2 linked regions of the Pelodiscus sinensis genome follow. The protein of the gene in region 1 binds, or shares a complex with, the protein of each later gene. Links are inferred from orthologs where the notes say so. Each region holds a gene or a part of one and is shown on either strand. Other genes may lie near its edges.

Evidence for each region.
Region 2: CNOT2 (region 1) and CNOT9 share a complex: the UniProt entries of both Homo sapiens proteins name them as parts of the CCR4-NOT complex. The link is inferred for Pelodiscus sinensis from reciprocal best matches to the Homo sapiens genes CNOT2 and CNOT9.

The regions. Positions count from the first base shown.
Region 1 is NC_134711.1:64,365,079-64,372,994, forward strand, and holds the start of CNOT2 (CCR4-NOT transcription complex subunit 2), read left to right. Parts: upstream 1-4,793; 5' UTR 4,794-4,917; intron 4,918-7,916. UniProt on the Homo sapiens protein: Component of the CCR4-NOT complex which is one of the major cellular mRNA deadenylases and is linked to various cellular processes including bulk mRNA degradation, miRNA-mediated repression, translational repression during translational initiation and general transcription regulation.
Region 2 is NC_134717.1:924,722-932,714, reverse strand, and holds the start of CNOT9 (CCR4-NOT transcription complex subunit 9), read left to right. Parts: upstream 1-4,766; 5' UTR 4,767-4,894; coding exon 4,895-4,918; intron 4,919-5,125; exon of another isoform or gene 5,126-5,281; intron 5,282-7,993. Other genes in the region: USP37 (ubiquitin carboxyl-terminal hydrolase 37), read right to left, coding at 2,773-2,928. UniProt on the Homo sapiens protein: Component of the CCR4-NOT complex which is one of the major cellular mRNA deadenylases and is linked to various cellular processes including bulk mRNA degradation, miRNA-mediated repression, translational repression during translational initiation and general transcription regulation.

The sequences.
Region 1 (7,916 bases):
GCGCTACACTAGCGCTCCGCTAGTTCGAACTTAATTCAAACTAGCGGAGCGCTTAGTTCGAACTAGGTAAACCTCATTGTACGAGGACTAAACCTAGTTCGAACTTACTAGTTCGAACGAAGGGCTGTGTAGCCCCTTAATTCGAACTAGTGGGAGGCTAGCCCTCCCCAGCTTTCCCTGGTGGCCACTCTGGCCAACACCAGGGAAACTTTATTGCCCCCCTCCCGGCCCCGGATCCCTTAAAGGGGCACGGGCTGGCTACGGTGCCCGTGCCAGGTGCAAGCCTGCCAGCACCCAGCTAGCAGACCCTGCACCTGGCACGGCTCGAGCCAGCCACCCGATGCCCCCCAGCCCTCCCTCTCTTCCCGGGACCAGGCTGGCGGCTCCCGGGAGCTTGCCCGGGACCGCAAGAGGCGGGCACCCGCCTGGTCTAGTGCGGACATCATGGACCTCGTCCACGACCTCCACACTAGGCACAGGAAAGTGGCTGTCTAGGGCAGGAGAGCTGCCAGCCTGGCCACCCAGGAGCAGGTGTGCATGAAAATCAAGGTGGTCCACTGAGACCCCCGACCCTGAGCTTACAATGGCCGTACTGGGTCATACCAAAGGTCCATCTAGCTCAGTAGCCTGTTTGCCGACAGCGGCCAACCCTAGGGACCCTAGAGGGGATGGACCGAAGACAGTGACCAAGCCATTTGTCTCGTGCCATCCATCTCCAGCCTTCCACAAACTTCGGGCAGGGACACCACTCCTACCCCCTGGCTAATACCACTCCATGGACCCAACCTCCATGACTTGATCTTACTTCCCTTTAAACTCTGTTCTAGTTCTAGCCTTCACAGCCTCCTGCAGCAAGGAGTTCCACAGATTGACTCTTTGCTTTGTGAAGAACTTTCTGTTACTAGTTTGAAGCCTGCTACCCATTCCTTTCATTTGGTGTCCTCTAGTCCTTCTGTTATGGGAACTAATGAAGAACTTTTCTTTATGCACCCTCTCCACACCACTCATGCTTTTATAGACCTCTATCCTATCCCCCTCTCAGTCTCCTCTCTTCATATGGGACCTGTTCCAAACCTCTGATCATTTTAGTTGCCCTCCCCTCTCCCACCTTCTCTCTTCCCCTCTCCCACCTCCTTTTCCCATCTCCCTGAGTTTTGTTCAATAAAGAGAGATTCTATTTTTGACCACACATTTTCTTTATTTTGTACATCAGGAAGGGGGGCTAGGGAAGGGTAAGTGGAAGGAGGTGAGGGAGGAATGGGGTACGAGCCCCCGATGGGGAGGACTGGGCTGGCTCTGCGGGCTTCTGGGGGTGGAAGCTCTCCTGCAGCCCCCCAATTGCCCCCTCTCCCCAGATGGCAGTCTGCGGCAAGTGCAGCCGGTCTGATGGCCGAGTGCTGTGATGTGCTGAGTGTGGACACTCAGGGCACTCCAAGCCAGGACTGCTTTGCAAGCGGGGCACCCCTGAGAACTGTCTGTCCGAGGTGGGGGTCGGGTCCCTTTAAGCACAGCTCTCGGCTAGCCTGAGGCAGCAGCTCCACGCTCTAAGTCCTCATCTGATGCCCTGCCGGCACTGCTTCCGGCCATCCTTAATCCCGGTTCAGGGTCCACTTAATGTGGACATGCTAGTTCGAATTAGCAAAACGCTAATTCACACTAGTTTTTTAGTCTGGATGCGTTAGTTCGAATTAGCTTAGTTCAAATGAACTAATTCGAACTAAGTTTGTTCGAGTTAGCGCTGTAGTGTAGGCATACCCTAACTTAGTTGGTTTGAAATACCAGCTCAATAAAAAGGCACAGTTTGGGTGCAAAACAGGCCTCATCCTTGCAGAAAAATGTGCTCAACCAATAAACAACAGAAGCAAAAGCATGAACTCTCCCCATTCATCACAGTAAATTGTGGACTATTTATCCACTTCAGAGCTTATTACAAACCATTAAAATGCTAACAACTTTCCTTTTCTTTAGGAAAACAAACAAGACAGTCAAATACACAAAAGCTATGTGTATGCAATGTTAATGTTCTACAATTAAACACTCAACGCAAGGGAATACAGCAGTTAAGGTTTCTGAATTAACATAACTTGCCCACATTGTGCATACATATTTGTGATTACTGGTTAGGCTACTAAATACACACTATATCTAATATACAAAGGAGAATGTTTGTATGTTTGTGCGCTATAACTTGGGCGCTATAAGAGCTACCCCAAACTTTGCATGGGGTAACCTTTCCTCCAGGAGAAGGTTTTAAGGTACTTTTGGCAGTGCGGGGAGAAGCAACTTCCCGGGGGAAGCTGCGGGGACAGTCACTCACTAAGGCTGGTGGTGGAGGCGGGAGGGGAGGCACTCTGAGCAGCAGCTGCTCCACTCGCCTGTACCAGGCCATTCCACTGAACAGGTGCATCTAGGGTGGGGGAGCCCCCTTCTTCCTCCCACCCATGATGTCACTTGGCCCGGGACCCACCCCTCCGGCAGCGGCTGAGGGTTGCCACGCTGTGGGCTGGAGCTTGCGGCCACCGCTAGGGGCGGTTGCGGGCACAGTGGGGCAAGCCCAGCAGGGAGGCGGCAGCGGTGCTGGGAGCAGCCCAGAGTCCGGCGCAGCTTCCTGGTCGTGTGGCAGGGAGCCCGGCACCTGCTCATCGAGGCCCACGGGAGAGGGGAGCCCCTGGAGCGGCCCCATGGTGCAGCAGGTAGCGGTGCGAAAGTTTCAGTGTGGACGGTGGGGTTGTTGCCCCGTGGCCCTTGTAGCCCTAGGCGCGAGCTGGGCTGTCCAGCCCACTGTAGGTTCCATGCTTACTCCCTCCTGTCCCTCACACGGGGCACCCCCGGCAGGACCCCACTGCCCACCCCAAGCAACATCGGGTAACTCCAGCTAGTGTAAAATAGATGTTATGTTTTTGAGAGAACTTTAATTTTTGGATTCACTGACTTTGTTCAAATATGTAGCATTCATATTTCACTTTTTTTTTTTTTTTTTGCTACAGCCCCAATCATATCTGATTGGAGTTATGTCTATACTGCAAGGCTTTTCTGCAAGAGGAAATGCAAATATGAGCAAGATACGCAAATGAGCGCTCATGTCACACTCGCATTTCCTCTTCCTCTTCGGATCACTTTTGTGCAAAAAAGAGCTATGTAGATGGCTCCTTTTTGTGCAAAAACAAGTGCAACATATGCAAATGAGTGCTCCATTTGCATTTCCTCTAGCGGAAAAGCCTTGTAGTATAGACCGTAGCCTAAGTCTCTGCATTGTCAGACTTCCTGCTCCATCCACCTTCATTCTTTCCTATTAAGTGTATTTAACAGAGTTGCTGCCCTCCTTCCGACCAGCAACTCCTACAGAGCTAGTGTAGACTACGCCTAAACTGGCTTGTCCAAGTCAGCTTACTCTGTCTCTCAGGATGCTTGATCTGGAACCCAAGTTCTTTGACTCTTCACCCTTAGAGGGTCCCAGAGCTCTGGCTGGAGCACAAACTCAAACTTCTACACAGTAATTTTTAGTCCCACAACCTGAGCATGACAAGCCCAAACCAGCTGACATAGGCCAGCCATATATCTTTTTATTCCTATGTAGATGTAACCCAAGAACTTCTGTTCTCCTGCTCCCACCTATTCTCTCCTAGGGTGTGGTTGTTCCAGGGGTCATCTATACAGTAGTTCCTCTGCAGGGTTGTAGTATTAAGAGACCTGGTCTGCACTACAAAGTTACTATGGCAGATACATCAATTTTCTTAATTGCACACTAAAGTTTCACTCCCACCAACATAACTGCCCTGCAATGCAGGCATAACTCCACCTCTGATGTGAGGAGCAGCATCAATGTGGATTTAGTTAGATCAAAGCAATGTAGGTGCACACACTGTGTTGTTTACATTGACTGTTACGGGCTTTCAGCATCTATCCGACAATGCCCCACAGTGACAGTACAACCTGTACAAGTGCACCTGGTTAGGATATGCACTGCCAACACATGGAGCAAAGTAGAGACATGCACAAGTGATGTAATTTCTATTGTGGCTGGATGCTGCGGTAAGTTAAGTCAACTTCAATTCTCTAGCAGAGACATGCCCTCAATGTAGATATGCTGATAAAGGGGTTCTCTCATTGGCATAAATAATCCACCCCTGAGATGCCGTAGCTAAGTGAACAGAAAAATTCATCCACCCCTTAGCACTGTCTACACACGGACTCAGATCAACTTAATTGTCACCAGGGTCCGGATTTTCCACACCTTTGAGTGATGTAGCCAGGACCAATTTTCCAGCACACAGCAAGCAGCCCACGGAGCTGCTGCCGTGCTACCCCTCTTGCCCCCGTTGTCTCCTGTGGGTGCGTGATGGGAACTGCTGTCTCCACCTCCCACGGGAGTGGAAGGGTCCAGGCCCCAACAGCCCCTTTTCCGTGCCCCGGAGCGGGCGTGTAACGGAGCCCCACGTGGGCAGGATGGGACCCGGGACTCACCCCCCTGCTGTGCAGTGAGTGTGACCGAGCTGCTGCCGCCCGCGCGCTGGGGGACCGCAGCACTAATTGGGTCCCCGCTCTCTCGGGCGGGAGCGTGTGGCAGGGCTCCCGCTCCCCTCCCACGGGGGAGGCCGCCCCCGTCCCGGCCGTGGCAGGCCCGGCTCCCTGCGGCAGCAGCGCCCTGGCTTCCCACCCGGGTTAAGCGCGGGGAGAGCGAGGCCCAGCAGGAGCCAGGCGGCAGAGGGGCCCAGCCTCCCGTGGGGGCGGAGGGAGCCGCGGGCCGGGCCTGGGCGCGCAGGCAGCTCGCGTCTCGCCCTGGTTCCGGTTGCCAGGCCGGGCGGCGGCGGGGTCACGGCGGCGGCGGGCGGGTCAGAGGGTAAAGGTCGCTCCCCCAGCATCCTCCGTGCTGGATACTCAGCCATCTTGGATCCGCGGGACAAGAAAATTCATGCGGTGAGTTCGGCCCCCATTATTTTCTGGCCCCCTCCCCGCGGCGCGCTCTGCCCGCTGCCTCCCAACGGGGCCCGCAGGCGCTGGGGGTGGGGCCCCCGGCGGTCCGGGCCCGGCTCCGCGGTCACTGGGCCCGGCCGCAGCCAGCCGGGTTTCCGTTTGCTTTTGTCTCCGAGGGAGAGAGAGAGGGGGGGACGCGCGACGTCTGAGTCGGGAGCGGAGCCCTTAGGCCCAGCCCAGGCAGCGGACCCGTCGCTTCCGCCATCCCCGGCCCGGCGGCGGCGGCGGCACCCGGGCCCCGCTCTGCGGGGAGGGAAAGGCCAGCGCTGCGGGAGGCGGCAGAGCCTGGGGCCCGCACCCTAGGGCCTCCTCATCCTCTGCGAGCGTCTGTGGCTTCTCACACAGCCGCGGCTTCCCTTCCTGCTGCCCCTTGCCCTGGCGGCTGCCACCCGCGATGTCCGCCCCTTGACTCGCCTCCTTCCCGCTCCCGCCTGTGCCCTAGTGTCTTGCTCATCTGACCCGTCCCCCTAGCCCTTGGCCTAGTTGTGGTTCTTGACACCCTCCCGCCCCATCGCGCGTTCGACTTCTTTAGGCGTCTGAGGAGAAGTTGGTGCTAATGTCCTCCCTCCCGTGTCTTGTGGCTTCGGGTTAAGAAACCAGTGAAGCGAAATCTGCCACCCACTGTCTCTGCTGCTACTGGTTTTTCCTTATAGGCGATGCTGGGGTTTTGCAGTTTACCAGTGTGGACTTGCGGCCTGTTATGTGAGCCCTGTAGATGAGAGAGGGCTGTGAAATAGGGTTAATTATTTCTGGTGTATTCTTCCCCGGCCTTTTTGAGGGAGGCTGAGATGACGTTGAAACAGGTTGTGATTCTTCCTCAGAAATGTTTGTTAAACAAACTTGAAGCACGCTGAACCACTTCCTCTGAGTGCTGCCTCTGTCTGTGTCAGAAGATGTCTTGTCTTCCTGTGTGTGTGATGTTTCTGTTTCAAAGCAGCTTTCACTGTGAACCAGCACTAATGGGGAAAATTCAGATGTCGTAGGGGAGAATGAATTCTTGTTTACAAATGTAGCTTGTACATCGTCCTGAAATTTGCAAGCCAAAGAATATGCACCTGTTACTTAAACTTTTATTATAATTCAAGTTACAGATGACTTTAACTTAAATATTTTGTAGTACTCTGTCAAATCTCAACATAATTACGTCATTGTGGATCAGCAGTGTTTACTTTTGGAAAAAACACATTTTGTTTGAACAACTTATTATCAAAACTTTAGTGTTATGTTAGCTTTTCATTTCTTACATAAAATGATTCCATTTGATTCTTGGATGAATTAAGTCCATGAAGGAAGGAAATACTGTTGTGCAGGCCAATATGAGTAACACCTGGTGGAAGTGATTGGCTGTTGGACTTAAATAAGTAATAGGAGAGCTTAAACTTTATCAAACTTTCTGTTACATCAGTCTGTAGACCTCATTAGGTTTCTGGAAATATGGATGTAGTTCAAACTATTGAGACACATGTAGAGCAGAACAATCAAATATAATTTAGGTTTTCATTGCAAAGATTCCTTTTTGTGGACTAACATATGCACTAATATCCTTTAATTTTTTTTTCTATTGTTGATCAAAGCTTGCGTGATCCAGGTCTTGAGGACTGCAGTGTTTTATAACATTATAACTGTTTTGGGGGAGAGTTCCAGCTGACACATGGTCAACTTCCAGATTTCCAGGGACTAGATCCTTTTGGTATTATGAAGGAATTTAAGTACCTTTATAGTTTATAACAAAAACTGGAATACCATTCACTAGAAGATGGCATTTTTTTTGCGGGAAGCTGTGAACATTAAGTATTAATAGATATTGGGGTGATAAAATGAGTTGTTGCCTTTTTGCTTATCTGTGGTGTTTCATTATCTTTTCTTTCTGATATTTGTCTAATGCCTTTGGCTAATAATTTGAAAAGGGACTAATGATTTTTGGATGCTTTATTTTCTGAATTGTCCAACTTGAGAGGCTTTATTTTATAAAGCGAACAAGTATTAAGGTATCTTCAGTTGACTCTACAAAATTGAGGTCCCAGAAATCTTTCTTGACTTTTGAAAATCTTGGCTTTTGTCTCCAGCTTGTTAAGTATGCCCTGTAACCAGGTACTTGGTATTAGATCTGAAACTAGAAACTTGCATTTTTAGGCTTCAGGTTTGCACAGTTTGGGTGCAGGATACTCTTGTGTGTCAGAGTTCATTGTGTTATAATAGTCATAACTTCCATAGTTATTTTTGTATTTGAAAATACTTTTCACTCAACTTGTAGAATTTGTAAACAACTTTTTTCAACTCACCAGTCTTAAGAGTAGATGAGGTGAGTACCTGTTATTAGCTTAGTGACTAATACTTGCACTGTCAAAGGCAAAATGAAAATAATCTGCATCAGACATTCTGATTTGAGCTAAAATATTAAGCCTAATACTGATTTGTCAGATTTTTCTTTCAGAAATGCACAAACAAATCTCAGTGAAATATACAGGAATTGTGCACGAGTATTCGAGTACAGAATTTGGCCTTAAGTACTGCAGAATCCTTGTGTTTAAAGTGGTGTTTAAAGAAATCTATAATACAACCTGTTACTTTTGTGCAGGTCTGAGTTCCTATTAAACAATATACGGTAGTTTTTCTTTAATTGTTGGTAAACTACTTGTCATATTTGTGCATATTTCTAGATGTTAGTCTAATCAGAGAAAGCCTAAACCCATATACAAATAGTGTACTATGTATGTACTAGTCTAAACAGAACTGAATTTCATTGGGGAGAAGAGGGAAACAAACAAGCAGATATTGTAAGACCCACAGGGTTAGTCAATCATTTTCATAATACATAAAACATATAGCTTGATATGTATTGACAAAAATCAAGAAATTCTAAAGTTACACTTGAATCCTTTGAGTTTCATTAGCTTATGTTGCAGTCTTAATATATTTTTTAAAATCATGCTAGAAATATG
Region 2 (7,993 bases), on another chromosome or scaffold:
TTTCTCCACACCAGTCATGATTTTATAGACCTCCATCATACTCCCCTCTTAATCTCCTCTTTTCTAAGATGAAAAATCTCTGTCTTTTTCATCTCTCTTCATATGGCAGCTGCTCCAAACCTCAACCATTTTTGTTGCCCTTTTCTGAACTTTTTCCAATGCCAATATATTTTTTTTAGATGAGGCAACCACATTTGTACGCAGCATTCAAGATGTGGGCATACCATGGATTTATACAGAGGCAATAAGATGTTCTCTGTCTTATTCTCTATTTTTTTTTTAATTATTCCCAACATTCTGTTTGCTTTTTTGACTACTGCTGCACGTTGAGTGGATATTTTCAGAGAACTATCCACAATGACTCTACAATCTCTCTGGAGTCGTAACAGCTAATTTAGTCCCCATCATTTTGTATGTGTAGTTGGGATTATGTTTTCCAATATGCATTACTTTGCATTTATCAACATTAAAATTAATTTGCCTTTTGCTGCCCAATCTCCTAGTTTTGTGAAATCCTTTTGAAGCTCTTCACAGTCTGCTTTGGTCTTAACTATTTTGAGCAGTTTAGTATCATCTACAAATGTTGCCCCCTCACTGTTTGCCCCTTTTTCCAGATCATTTATGAATATGTTGAATAGGACTGGCCCCAGTACAGACCCCTGTGGGACCCCACTAGTTACCTCACTCCATTCTGAAAACTGTCCATTATTCCTATCCTTTTTTTCCTATCTTTTAACCAGTTATCAAGCCCTGAGAGAACCTCCCCTCTTATCCCATGACAAGTTACTTAAGAACCTTTGGTGAGGGACCTTGTCAAAGGCTTCCTGGAACTCTAAGTACACTGTGCTCACTGGATCCCCCTTGTCCACATGCATCAGTACATGCATCTGACAAAGTGAGTCTTTGCCCATGAAAGCTTATGATCCAATAAATCTGTTAGGCTACGTCTACACTGGCCCCTTTTCCGGAAGGGGCATGTAAATTTCACCAGTCGTAGTAGGGAAATGCGCGGGGGATTTAAATATCCCCCGCGGCATTTAAATAAAAATGTCCGCCGCTTTTTTCCGGCTTTTAAAAAAGCCGGAAAAGAGCGTCTACACTGGCCCCGATCCTCCGGAAAAAGCGCCCTTTTCCGGAGGCTCTTATTCCTACTTCAAAGTAGGAATAAGAGCCTCCGGAAAAGGGCGCTTTTTCCGGAGGATCGGGGCCAGTGTAGACGCTCTTTTCCGGCTTTTTTAAAAGCCGGAAAAAAGCGGCGGACATTTTTATTTAAATGCCGCGGGGGATATTTAAATCCCCCGCGCATTTCCCTACTACGACTGGTGAAATTTACATGCCCCTTCCGGAAAAGGGGCCAGTGTAGACGTAGCCCAAGTCTATAAGGTGCCACAGGACGTGTTGTTGTTTATGCAGATTCAGATTAACATTGCTACCCTTCTGATACTTGTCCACATGCTTGTTGATGCCCACAAAGAACTCTAGTAGATTAGTAAGGCATGATTTCCCTTTACAGAAACCATGTTGACTTTTCCCAACAAACTATGTTCATCTATGTGTCTGACAATTCTATTCTTTACTATTGGTTAAACTAAGTTGCCTGGTACTGACATCAGACTTATTTTATACCCAATACTTGCTTTTTTGGTTAACTAAATATTTTCAGTACAGGAAGAATTTAAGGATGGCCTTCAAATCTTCCACTCTCCCCTAAAATAAGTACAGCAGAGAAGAATTTCAACCACATGACCATTCAAGGTCAAACCTATTACAACACACAAAAAACTCTTATGACTTAACAGCATTCATCATCATCCATATTCTCCAGCCACCAGTTGTGACTCGTTTAAACTATATTATAAAGTCTCTTTGGGACAAAGATAATCTTTTACTTTATATCTGCATCTAGCACTATGGGGCCCCAACCTGACTGTGGCTTCTAGACACCACTAACAAATAAAAAAGTAATTTTGACAAGTATGAAGAGCTGCCAGTTACTGAAGCGAGAGAAAGATTTAGTTCAATTTGCCTCTATAACATGACAGTAGGATCTCCCAAATCTGCAGATGAAGAGGTTTCTGATTAATCTGAACCGGAAGACAGAAAAAAGGCCTAAAACTCCTCCTAATGTTTCCTGTCCCAAAATATGAATATCATCAAGTGCACACATTTTACTTATCGCCTTATAGTTGGTATGAACCTTATTTTTCTGACAGCAAGAGCTATCAAAGCTCCAAAAGGAAGTGGTGAAAATCAAGTTTCTTGGCACACTAATAACCTAGACTGGACAGAAGTGTAGTTGATGTACAACAGTGAAGAGTTTTGCACCTGGACTAAGGGTATATTTACACTGGAAATGTTCAGCACTTCCACTGGAAAAAGTACTAGTGTAGTAGAAAAGGCATACGTGACCTAATAAATCGCCACACAGATGGTCTGAAAGTTTGTCAAATAAGCAAAAAGAGTTTAAAAAAGCGAATACAAAATAACAAGATACTATATAGTGTTTGGTTCATTTTACTTTCATGTCTTAAGCATTTTCATTTCTTCCCAATAATTGGTTTGTCCACTCCTGCCTTGGCATTCTACCCAATGATACACCTGAATACTGTAAAGTATGTTTATACAAAAGGATTAATGTTCTAGAAATGAAAACCAAGAAACAGTAACAGAGGGAAGTCTGTGAGATACTTAGTAGTCTTTGAGATGAAAGCTGTTCACAAAAGGGAACAATCCATGCATTGCTCATATAAAACACCTTGATATCTGAAGTACCTGAAATGTCTTTGGAATTCCTCCAACATTGTAGTGAACGACTAAACTCACTTTGTTGTCCTTCTCCACAATTTCAAAGCTTCCTTCTTTCCATTTTGTAATCCCAGTTTGCATGCTGCGCATCCGTACAGGCCCATGCACCTTCAGTGGAGCCATTTTTCTTGCAGATAAATAACTTAAAACAGTTGAACTAAATTTACTTCACTTTGAATCCTGTTAAAAATAAGAAAAATTAAAATTGGCAACTAGCAAATAAAAGTATCTGCATAAAGTGTAAAAATCAGGAACAGCATTTTTTGCAGGAGTCTAGAAAAAATAGAATACAGTAAATGAAATATGTATTAGGAAATCTTCCATAATTTGGCCAGCATTACTTTAAGCCAGTGGTCTCCAGACTCTTCAGGGTTCATGCTCCTTACCCAGACTGGGGGCAAAACTGTGGCTAAGGGGAGGAAATGTAGACAAAAGTAAGGAACCTGAGGCTGTGGTCACAGTTGGAGGCCAGACTCAGGGGCATGAGTAGAGCTGAGGCCTTGATGTGGGGAATGCCTCGCACCTTGGGGAACTCTGTTTTAATCCCTAAATATTTAACACTGAGTGAGATGACTCAGTACAAACAGTGAAAGATCTTGCAAGTCTAAGAATGACATTTACAGAGTTACCAAAACAAATTGATCTTGAGCTAAGAGCAAGCAGGGAAAGATGAGGGGGAAAAGACAACAAATTTTCCAAGAAACCATTTGGTTTCCAAAATTGGACAATAAAACCTCTAATGAGAAACTGACTTTTTATAATAAAATTTATTCTTTGTATTTGCAAGTTTTACTTATTGTCACCTCAACGTCACCTGTTTCTCTCTCTCAGCCACCTGTTGCATCTTGTCATTGATCTAGATTATCATCTTTTGGTTATAGATTGTGTTTTGATATTGGTACAGCACTTTGTACAACGAGACTCCAACTTGACTGAGGCTGCTAAGCAACGTTAATACAAATTACTAAAACAATGTGACAAATTACTCTTTAAATAATCCACATTTTGATAGGAACTGTCTGATTAAAACCAACGAAGGAAGGAAGCTTTGCATAGGATCACACACACAGCCCTTTTCTATTTAACTTTTGAGGGGGATGCAGTTCAATACAAGCTAGGGACACGCAAGCGACAATCACCAGGCAGCAGGGCTCGCAATGGTTCAAGTGCGAAGGGCGTTTCTTTCGGGGCAGTGAGCGGGTGCACGGCAGAGTCCGGGGAAGGGGAGGCCGTTCCTGCACAGGCCGAGAAGCGGCATCACAGGCCCGTGCCCAGGGCAGGGCGGCTCTGCGGGGCGAGCCCGACAGGCACAGGGGCCAGCTGGGTCCCCGCGCGCTCAGAGCGCCACACCGCGCACGTGCCGCGCCCCGCGCGCTCACCGGCAAAACCCACCGGGGGGGGCGGGGGGGAGACGGGGCAGCGGTCACGTGGGGGCAGCCCAGCGCGAGGGGCACCTGTGGCGCGCGCGGAGGGCAGCGGGCCCCAGGGACTGAGCAGCGCGCGGCCGGGCTCTGCCCCCCCCCCGGGGCTCTGCCCCGCGCGCCGGGGGGGGGGGGAGAGTGACCCACTCGCCCCGCCCCCCCACCTGCCGTGCCCGGACAGCGCCCCGCCCGGGCGGGGGAAGGGCTCGGCCGGGCTGACCGGGGGCTCTCGCGGCTGCAGGCGGCCGGAGGGGGAGGGGGCAGCTGAGGGGGCCCGTGGGGGCGGGGGCCGCGGCTCGCTACCTGCCGCTCGGGTCCCGCGAGGCCCCGCCGGGCGCTGCGCTCGCTCCTCAGGGAGGCAGATGGCGGGAAGCGGGCAGCCGCGCGAGACGCCCCGCGCGAGACGCGGCACGTACGGCACGCGCGCGCGGTGGCGTCACGGCGCTGCGCGCAGGCTCGCCGCGGGCCCTCCGCCGCCCCGCAGAGCGCGCCCTGCTCGCCCACAAGCCGCCGCGCGCAGGCGCCTCACCCTCCCCCCCCCCGGCGCGGAGCACGTGACGGGGTGAGAGGGCGGAGGGCAGGGGTCAGGGCGGCGCGCAGGCGGCCTGGGCCCCATGGCGACGGCAGCGGCCTCCTGATCCCGGGCCCGGGCGGCGGCGGCTCCGAACATGCACAGCCTGGCCACGGCCGCGGTGAGTCCCCCCGCCCCCCCCCTCCGGCCGGGCCCCTGCGGGCAGCGACGCGGGGCCGGGGGGGCTCCCCGCGGGCGGGCCCGGGCACAGACCCCGCCCCCCCGGCGGGCTTCAAAACGGCGGCAGCACGAGGCGGCGCTTCCCGCACGGGCGGAGTCGCTGCGGGCCGGAGGGGCCTGGAGATCCGCCCGGCCCGGCCCTCGTGGCGGCCCCGCGCCCCCCGCAGCCTCCCCTGCGGCCAGGGAAGCCCCGAGCCTCCGGCCTGGCCCAGGGCCCCTCCCCCTCCCCTAGCCGCTCTGGACAGCTGGTGCCCTGCCCAGCTCGGTCTCCCCTAGCCCGGACTCCACATCGCGCCGCCGCGCAGTGAGTCAGGAGCGCGCGAAATGGTGAAACGGCGGCGGGGTCGCGGTTTTCATGGGTCCTTTCAAACCGTGCGAGGGGGCTGAGGGCGCCTTTGAACAAGTCTCCCAGAGCTTTGACAAACCAGGACTAGGCAGCACTTTACAGACTCACAGGATGGTTTATTAGATGATGAGCTTTCGTGGGCCAGACCCACTTCCTCAGATCAAAGAGTGGAAGAAAATTGTCAGAACCATAGATACCAAAGGGTTGTGACAATTTTCTTCCACTATTTGATCTGAGGAAGTGGGTCTGGCCCACCAAAGCTCATCACCTAATAAACCATCTTGTGAGTCTTTATACTGCTGCATAGCCTGGTGTAGCTGAAACAAAGAACAGGACTAACACGGCTACATTTCTATCACTATCCCATAGCTTTGTGCGCTGTGATCGAATATACTTCAGGTTCATTCTCCTGCTATTTACATTTGGTAAATGCAGCTGTCTGCAGGGGGGGGCTGCACTACACAACGCTATCCTTGGTTGAGCAAGGTGGAGCACTGGCCTTTTACGACGAGACCACCAGTACAGTCTGTATTTAGAGTGCTAATCTGAAAAGAACATAACGTAACAAAGGGGAGGTCCAGAGAATGGAGCAAACACAATAAAAACAGACAACTTGATATAGAAGCATGAGCGTGAACTTACAAATCAGTCAGTGCCTTGCAATATTGTTGTTAAATAAAGGCTTCATATTGGTGTTACCGTGTTGAAAATCTAACAATATAGGCAGAAAATAGACAATTGTATGTATGTATTGATGTTTTTACCTAGAATGCTTCAAGGCAGTTGCCAGTTGGAGACTGTTTCTTAAATTATGTAAAATCAAATCTGCTATGTAATAGGGATGTAAGCGACTAGCCTGGCAGCTCTTAATACATTTAAAAGGCAGAGCCGCAGTGGGATTAGCTGCCCGGGGCCGGGAGCTAACCCCATTGCAGCTCTGCAGTCCCGCCCCCCCCATCAACTAATCGACTAGTTGATTAAGTGCAATTTACATCCTTATTATGTAATAGTCAGAGTTGCAGTTTGGCAGACACTGTGTCCTGAGCTCTTCAGTGATCCACAAATGGTCAGTGTGTATGGTGTTTTAAAACAGCTATGACCTCACTCTTGCATGCATGAAGCACAGCAGAGTGCATTAGTAAGATCAATATGTATCTGCAATGTTTGTGATATTTGGCATTACCCAAGATCCTAGGGAAGGAGAATGATACCTTCAGCCTTGAGAACAGCAGTTTAAAAATTAGATGATTTTATCAACAACCGCATGAAATATAGGTGGGATGTACAGAGAAAAATAACATCAGATGGGAATCTGTATGATCTGTGGGGAGAAATTTGATTCTTACTGAGGAAGGCACTGAACACTGTGGATGTATGCCTGCGTTGCTAAGGAGTGAGTGTATTTGAACTGTTAACGTGAACTGAAGCTTTCAATATGTCTAGTGAATTAGGCCTGAACGTATAGCTCTCCAAGAGCCTGCCATCATAAACAAACACAAAGTAGACTTTCCCATTTTCCCTGTATTTCTAAGCCCCCTTATAGGGAGTGCTAATAGGATTACACTTGTCACAGTTCACCATGCTCACGAAATATCCTGGCTTCAGGATCTGAAAAAGAATCTGGAAAACAGACAAGAGAGTCAGAGAAGGATTGATTTGAGGAAAGTTGAAGAGTTAAAATGTATGGCGAGCTTTGCAGGGCAGGGATCAAGTGTGGATAATACATCTATAGATCATCTGATGGCACTAAATAAATACTTTCCTAAGTTAATAAGAGCAAACAGTTAATAAGTCTACAGGTTCTTGATCCTATAAATACCAAAGGTGAGAGAGTTAGTTAGAATGTGCATGGTATATAATGGGATTGAATGGATGAAACAGAGGGAAAAATTTTCGAAATGTCAAGAAACACTTGCTGATATTGAGAAGCGAGTCTGTAGAATGGTATCCCAAAGACTTAGTCCCTAATATGCATCTCTAACCTCTACAGTTCGGTAAAGATTGATCCCAGTTGTATAGTTTCACTTCTAGTACTAGCTGGTTTCACTTCATAGTTCTTGAGCATGACGAATTGTAGAGGAGATTGCAAGGGAATACTTAAACCCAAATACACTGCAACTAGTTGGCTTAACGTTCAAGAAAATAGTCCTATTGAGATCTAGTTAAACCTAAATTTTGAGCTTAAACTACCAAGCTGCTACTTTACTTAGTGCAAGAGAATTTAGTTTATATCGCTGTTTTAAAGAGCATTTGAAAGATCATGAAACTTTGTTTTTAATGAAAGTTTAACTTCTCTGAAAAGGAAATCCCAGAGATCTTAAAATCCTGGGTTCCCCAGTGTGATTCTTTTATTTCTGAGACTTCACTGTCTGTGTTACCCTTTCACTGATTTTGTGGAGAAGGGGGATGGAAATAACTTTTAAAACTGTCCTGCTTAATCTTAAAAAGATTTTTTGAGTGTAGGTACAGATTTACCCTTCTCGGTTGTAGTCTGGGAAGAATTTTTCTCACAAAGCAAAGTATCAGGGAGTTCCCTTTGAGAGAGATACTTAGGGAAGTGGCTGAGGTTCTTGGGAACACAAGCAAGATGAACAGGGTGGATTTGTGCAACACCTATTTGTAGCACAATGTCTCTCTAGCAATACTTTTTTAAATTCTTCATTGTATAAA